2 linked regions of the Neurospora crassa OR74A genome follow. The protein of the gene in region 2 binds, or shares a complex with, the protein of the main gene of each other region. Links are inferred from orthologs where the notes say so. Each region holds a gene or a part of one and is shown on either strand. Other genes may lie near its edges.

Evidence for each region. Proteins that work in one complex are often made in the same cells at the same time.
Region 1: NCU01831 (region 2) and NCU06646 share a complex: the UniProt entries of both Saccharomyces cerevisiae proteins name them as parts of the 7-subunit TFIIH core complex. The link is inferred for Neurospora crassa OR74A from reciprocal best matches to the Saccharomyces cerevisiae genes SSL1 and TFB5.

What each region holds. Positions count from the first base shown.
Region 1 is NC_026505.1:4,109,390-4,112,518, reverse strand, and holds NCU06646 (RNA polymerase II transcription factor B subunit 5), read right to left. Parts: upstream 1,749-3,129; 5' UTR 1,524-1,748; coding exon 1,505-1,523; intron 1,364-1,504; coding exon 1,215-1,363; exon of another isoform or gene 1,096-1,214; coding exon 1,045-1,095; 3' UTR 911-1,044; coding exon of another isoform or gene 801-910; 3' UTR 720-800; downstream 1-719. Other genes in the region: NCU06647 (enoyl-CoA hydratase/isomerase), read left to right, coding at 1-222, 336-719, 801-910. UniProt on the Saccharomyces cerevisiae protein: Component of the general transcription and DNA repair factor IIH (TFIIH) core complex, which is involved in general and transcription-coupled nucleotide excision repair (NER) of damaged DNA and, when complexed to TFIIK, in RNA transcription by RNA polymerase II.
Region 2 is NC_026502.1:2,258,608-2,262,810, forward strand, and holds NCU01831 (RNA polymerase TFIIH complex subunit Ssl1), read left to right. Parts: upstream 1-1,288; 5' UTR 1,289-1,598; coding exon 1,599-2,128; intron 2,129-2,195; coding exon 2,196-3,075; 3' UTR 3,076-3,776; downstream 3,777-4,203. UniProt on the Saccharomyces cerevisiae protein: Component of the general transcription and DNA repair factor IIH (TFIIH) core complex, which is involved in general and transcription-coupled nucleotide excision repair (NER) of damaged DNA and, when complexed to TFIIK, in RNA transcription by RNA polymerase II.

The DNA.
Region 1 (3,129 bases), on a different chromosome or scaffold from region 2:
AGATCTTCCGGCAGCTGTCGTCGGACCCGGACGTGCGGGCCGTGGTGCTCTCGGGCGCCGGTGACCGGGGTTTCACGGCGGGTTTGGACATCCACGCGGCCAGCTCGAACAACCAGCTGCAGTCGAGCGGCGCCCTCGACGTCGGGCGCAAGGCGGCCCAGTTGAGAAGATACATTACTGAATTTCAGGATAGCATTTCGGCTATTGAATTGTGCGAGAAACGTATGTATTGACTGTGCCGACTTGTCACTCTTCGTTACCCAGGGTGATATATATACGTCAAGCCAATGAACCAGTGCATGCGAATCTTGCTAACCTACAGAAACTCCCTGAAGCCGTCATCGTCGTCCTCCACGCCATCTCCCTCGGCCTCGCCATCGACATCGCCTGCGCCGCCGACATTCGGCTCTGCACGCGTGACGTTCGGCTGGCCGTCAAGGAGGTCGACATCGGCCTGGCCGCCGACATTGGCACGCTGAGCCGGCTGCCCAAGGCCGTCGGCAACTTCTCGTGGGTGAAGGAGGTATGCATGTCGGCAAGAGAGTTTGGCGCGACCGAGGCGCAACAGGTCGGCTTCGTCAGCCAAGTTCTCGACAGCAAGGTGGCTGCCCTGGATCAGGCGATCAAGCTGGCGGGCTTGATTGCTGGGAAGAGCCCGATTGCTGTACAGGGAACTAAGGAGTTGTTGAACCACGCAAGGGACCATTCGGTTTCTGAAAGTACGTTTCCTTTCTTGGTTTCTCTTCCTCCTCGTTGCTCGTTATCGTGAAGGAAAGGCTAAACTGATAATTTTGACACAGGCTTACGGTATACCACCGTCTGGAACTCGGCTGCTTTGCAATCAAGAGATATGATGGACGCGTTATCGGCTAGTGTGCAGAAGAAGAAGCCCGTCTTTTCAAAGCTTTAAAGAGGATCAAGTAGTCCATCGCAGGCTGGTAACTGCTACGCAGTGTTGAAGGTGTATAAATAAATGCATGTAATTCGGGGGGGTTCAGCGACTTGAAGTCACTACGTATGCGTCTCCTATTTACTAGGCAACTCCTAGTCACTATCTGCCAGCGGTTCCTCGGGCCTGTATGTTTCCTTCAGGCGCTGTTGTAGGTAGGAAAGTGTCAGCCAGAGGAAGGTGATATAATCGGACATGATATCTAGTTCACGATGCGGGCCAAACGGTCACACTGGACAAAGCAAAGGGGAAGCATATGACTTACGTCCTCGAGTTTCTGTTTGAGCAGTTGCACCATGTTTTCCTTAACAACCAGGGTCTGCTCATCAAGATCTTCGATGATGATATCGTTGTTAACACTATCCAAGTGAACGATGATGGACTTGATGGCTGGTTCGCACTGGATGAGTACACCTGAGCCAGGGACCAGTGTTAGCAGGGTGAGTATTTGTTTTGCGTTAGAGTCGTGCTGTGCTGTTGCTTATGAATGAGTCTTGACTAGACAAGCCCATGTACACGTCATTTATATGGTATTTCATGGGAATCCATACTGACCTCTGATTGCTCTCGGCATCTTGAATAGCTGTAGTTTCTGGCGGGATGGCAAAATGTCCTGTGATTTTTTTATGTCGCCGTAGCCCTCATCAAGTTGGCCTTTTGGGTATATGCTCTGAGAACAATGTCGTATGCGACGTGGTTTGGAATGTATCGGGCTGTGCTGGTTGTTGGTCGGGATATGGTTGGATCGTTAGATGGTTGGCGTGGAAGAAATGGGTTTGTGTTGCTGTATGGTAACTCAAATACAGCGTTTGAGCGTACAATTTGTTGGCAGCGCCTTCTCTGTAACGACGCGAGCAACCTGGCATGAAGTGACAGAGAAGCAGCGGCAGACACGGGTACCTACGTACGCTTGCAGAATACGGAACATTACGTAGGTACATACGTTCGGGTTCAGGTCAGAAAACTTGCCTTGCGATTACATACCCGCAATTATACTTACTGAACCTTGAATCCAGGTGCTGTCCCTCCAGATCAGATGAATAGATGATGAGGGCATCATGACCTTCACTTCAACCTCAATTGCAAGAACAGTGTGTATAGATGATTCTCACATTCCCTTACCAACAAGCTTCAACAAATAATTCGTCCATGAGTGGCCGGCTGGTCTGGATGATCACATTGGATCTTACTTAATGGAAACCCCGAATGTGATCAAAGCAGTCACAGGCAAGGGGGGACAATGGCGTCTCCAAAAAAACGAATCCTGTAACCACTTTCCCACTCTGTGTGGCCGTTTCGGGCCCTGGACGCTGCCAGGGATCGCTGGGCGGGAAGGCTTAACCGCTTGCAGTAAACCACCCCACCTTTTCGCTTGAGAGTGCCAGCGTGGGAGCGGAGATCGAATCTCAAAACTCGTGCCAATCGCAAGCTCAGATTAGTGATAGTATGGCTCGGATATTGGGTGCGGGTACTGAGTGGTGCCTAGACTGAGAGTTGGGAGTATTTCACGAGGATCCAGGGCAGGGAGCTGCGATGGAGACCAAGAAATATCTTTTCTGTCCAGGGAGTCCCAAAACCCTCTTGTTTGCTCCTGGATTGCCTTGCGGCGCAGGGACCGAGGTAGTATGTCGTTGGCTGACAATGATGAAATAGGTGCAGCAAACCAACGTACCCTACCCGTTCAAAACATGCCATGTCCAGTCTTTTATCCGTCTTGAGAATGAAAAAGAAAAAAGGAAAGGAAAGTAAGAAAAAGAAAAGAAAAACAAACGTCGATATGACGAGGGCGGATAGAGGTGACTAGGTACGACTTGCCGATGGCGGTTTCAGATTCTGTGCATCGGGAGCTCGATAACCGGTAGCGCCTTGTTACACCAAACTGAAATGTGACAAAAGTGAAAGACCCGATGAACTGTCGAAGATGTGATCGCAAACGAAGCCCGCATTCTTGAACATGGCGGTGCTTCCTTCCGTTCTGAAGACGACCTTCTGGAAGCGCGAGAAGAAGACCAGGGCCAAGACATGCCTCATTACTGCACTTGCCGTTGCCGTACAAGTTCGTTGTGTCGTCTGGCTGCGGTCAATCCTACGGTGTAGTGACCCGCGCTGCAGTCAGAATGCCCGCACCGCACCCAGATAATAAGGTTGGGCAGTTGGTGAAATTACCTCCATCGACTGCA
Region 2 (4,203 bases):
GACCGAGGAGGACCATGAACAATCTGGCCCTTTTTGTGTGAAAATTTCGACCGCGTACGACTGATCGCGAGTTGGTTAATCAATTGCGCCCATACAAGCGGCTGAGGTATTACGTCAGAGGCGGCACAGGTCAGTCTTGGCCGTTGACCAGTGAGCGGGGATCTTTGGAAACCTCGGCCGAAGGTGCCGTGACGTAACGTCAATCCAGTTGGCGTTTCTTATTGGCCACCTGTCAGCGCGTAGGTCGCAGGCGAGCCACGATCAACCGCAGAGCTGGAACGGGCCGGCACGGGGCCGGCACATCTACATGTGCCTTACTACTAACGGCGAGGCTACTCCACGGCGCAACCTTTCATCGCATTTCACGATCCTACAATACCTCGCTACGAAGCTTCTGTCGGGCACATCACGCCAAGTACGCGGTCCGCTTTAAGGTCGCATCTTACTGCATTCCTTCATCGAGTATATGTACATAACTCGATGCAGTAATTAGCTTCGATCTTCTCTCCCCCATCTCCAGTAAGTATTGCTAGTTGTGCACTGCACTGTGACAGTTGTTTCGCTCAAGGTAAGGGTCGGTGTTTACCTGTTTCACCACATCACGAAACATGCGACTCACGCCATACGGTGTCTGTCTCGCTGGTGACCTTGCAGATTCATTGGACCACGATACCGAAACGGATATATGGACACATCAAAGCCGTGGACCCCATTCCGTCGTCTGGACTCTAGAATTCGGGAGAGCCCGTGCCCGGAATCCGGACCGGAACGGACAGTTGGACTCCCTGGCTGGCCGTTTTCCACGTGGGATTCCCATTTTGCCAAGCGATTTGACCGCACAAGTATCACGCACCCCCGCAGTACCGACGACGACCGATCCATGATTTATTTGAGCCTTGTATGCCTACATACTCTTTGAGGTTCTTGATTACTTCAACAGTCTGGTGAACCCCGGGCACAAGCATGTGAAAGTCGCAGGCCCCCGAAGGCATAGCCCTACATCGCCTCAAGACAATCCAGTGGCCCTTCTGGGTAGCGGGCACATCATGTAGTATATACTTGACACATATGCACGTCCTTTGAATGTCGTGACTCGTAACCAAGCTTCAAATCAGAGTTGACCTTCGCTTTGAAGTTGTGGTGGAACCAGATTTCGCTGTCGAATTTCGAGGCCCGTAGTTACACAAACGAGATGTCGGTACCCAGCACCGATCTGATTCGATTTCACAGGCCCCACTCTTCCTGCGAGGCTGCCTACATACACGAGTTCGCGCATTTGGGGAACAGCCTTGCAGTCCAGTAAACATTTCCGGCTTCCACCACACACCACGAACCTTTGTTCAGCTTGTGCATTCAACGTCGTCGCGTATCCCCTTTTCTCCATTCTTTCTTATTTCTCTCCGGCACTTTTTCAGCGCGACAACCAGTACCCGGCCTCCCGATCAACACCTACCAGGGAGTTGTCTACACGAACACGACTAAAGGCCCTGATTATCGAACTTCTGAACCTTCCACTCGTTTCGAAGTGACCCTCGAGCTTCTCCCACTAAGAGCGCCAGCTACTATCCGTCAAACTATCCCGACAAACATACGCAAACATGGCTGACTCGGACGGCGAGTACGCCTCCGACGATGAGCTCAAGAGGCATGGAAAGAGGACAGCGGACGGGCGCAGCAAGCAAACCAAGGCGTCATGGGAAGATGTTAAGCGCTCCTGGGATACCGTCTTGGAAACAGCGGACAGCGGCCTCTCCATCGCAGAGATTCGGGAGGCCGAGAAGCGGCGTCGCCTTCTGCGCGACACGACACCTCTTCAGCGTGGAATTATCCGCCATCTGATGCTTGTGCTCGACATGAGTTTCGCCATGGCCGACAAAGATCTGCTACCAAACCGTTACCGAGTCGTCCTAAATAACGCCATTGGCTTCGTACGCGAGTATTTCGAGCAGAATCCCATCAGTCAGCTAGGCATCGTGGGAATGCGCGATGGAATTGCTGTGCGAATAAGCGACCTGAGCGGGAATCCGGCCGAGCACATCGAAAAGTTGATGCAATGGAGCGAGCAACAAGACCCCCAAGGAAATCCGAGTTTACAGAATGCACTTCAAATGTGCCGAGGTGCTCTATAGTCAGCGCTACGGCCCACCCCCTCCGTGACAGAGGTCATTCGCTAACCGCTTCATGTTTTTGTACAGTCAAACGCCGTCACATGCCACGCGCGAAATACTGATAATCTACGGTGCCCTCGTCTCAATCGATCCGGGCGACATACACGACACCATCAACGACCTCGTAGCCGACCGCATCCGCGTCTCGGTCGTTGGCCTCGCCGGCCAAGTCGCCATCTGCAGCGAGCTTTGCAAGCGGACGAACAACCACGACGGCAACTACAGCGTCGCCGTAGACGAGGTGCACCTCAAGGAGCTCTTCTTCGCCGCCACCACTCCGCCCGTCACCCGCACGCCCGAGCAAAACACCGCCAGCCTGCTCATGATGGGCTTTCCCAGCCGCACGCTTGCTCCGAAAGACCATGTCAGCTTCTGCGCCTGCCACGCGAAGCCCACGCGCGAGGGGTACACCTGTCCGCGCTGCGGAATCAAAGTGTGCCGGCTGCCGATCGACTGTCCGATCTGCAAGCTGACGCTCATCCAGAGCACGCACTTGGCGAGGTCGTACCATCATCTGTTCCCGCTCAAGGTGTTTGTGGAGGTTCCGTGGTCTCAGGCGTATAAGTCGACGGCGTGCTACTCGTGCCTGACACCCTTTCCTGCTAGGCCAAGGGATTCAGTGGCGGCAGCGCCAGCTGTGTTAGGAGGGAGAGCCGGAGCTAAAGGTAGCGGGAAACAACAGGACGGCGAGCAGAAAAATCCAAAACCGGAACTCAAGGGTGTCAGCGAAAGCGGGCGGTATGCTTGCCAGGTATGCGGAAATCATTTTTGCATAGACTGTGATGTCTTTGCCCACGAGACTATTCATAATTGTCCTGGGTGTCAGAGCGATACGAGGGATGTGGAGAAGGATACGGCAGTAGCAGTACCAGACGGTGGCCCTACACCCATGGTGATGGATTCCTAGAGTGAGGAGCATGCTACAAATGGCGGCAGATGGAGGACAACAATTAGCCGCTCCGCTTGAACGTTTCAGATTCTTCGGGCGGAACCGAACCGGCCACTCTGGTTAAGAGCATCGATAGTATGGTATCGTGAACGAAAACGATACGATGACCCGAAACAGAGCAGTTTTAAGGGTATGGCGAACATATCTGTTACATGGAGGGGTTGGCGCTGCAAAGAACACGAAAATATACACGGCATCACGATCAAAATATACCCAGACGACTTGGCTAAGAAGAAAGTCCAAAGTGGAACTCCCAAAACCAAAGCTGTAAGGGACACCAGCCGAATAACTAGAGACGACGGGGTCATGGCTTCTTCATGCTCTTTACCAACAAGGCAGTGCAAAGGGATACTAGCGAAAGGGCTAAAGAAATGACGGGATCCAACAGATGTGAAATGGTCCTATGAATTCAAGAAGACGATTCGTTGGGTGTGGCGCATCTGTGAAGGAGATGGGAGACGGATATGGTTATGGAAGAATGATCAAGAAGACTCTTTGCGTATCGGTAGAGTCCCTTGTGACGAGGGGAAAGAGAGGACGGGCACGCAACGAATCATAGATGTGGAGTGATACGGCAATGTGAGATTTTGAGACCATACCAGCATCATCAAGTAGCGTACTAAAATAGCTAATCTTCATATGTCTACACGGTTCCGGTGATGTTCCGATAAAGGAAAAATCCTGCCCTTGAACAAATCGGACAAATTATATGCAAGTAGGTAGGAGTGCGTGGTGAAAAACGAGTGAAGAGCAGAATGCGAAAGGAACTTGTTGGGCGATCATGACTGGCGATTTATGAACAGGTCAACAAAATGTTTCAACCCCTCGTTTTCATTCGAAGCTAATACACCACCGTGAATTCGCTCATTACCTACAATTTCACATAGCTGATTTCAGAATGACAAAGTACTATGTAAGCACGTGTCAAAATCATCACATGATTTGCATAACTATGCCAAAGCTACTTTCATGCTCTACTTCTCGGTTTGAAGCCATATCGAAACCACAAACAAGTACTGTGCGCCTGCAAGATGCCATGCTAAGACCCTTCCGGCCAGCTCCCCTGCCGGCCGACCCCCAAGCTTT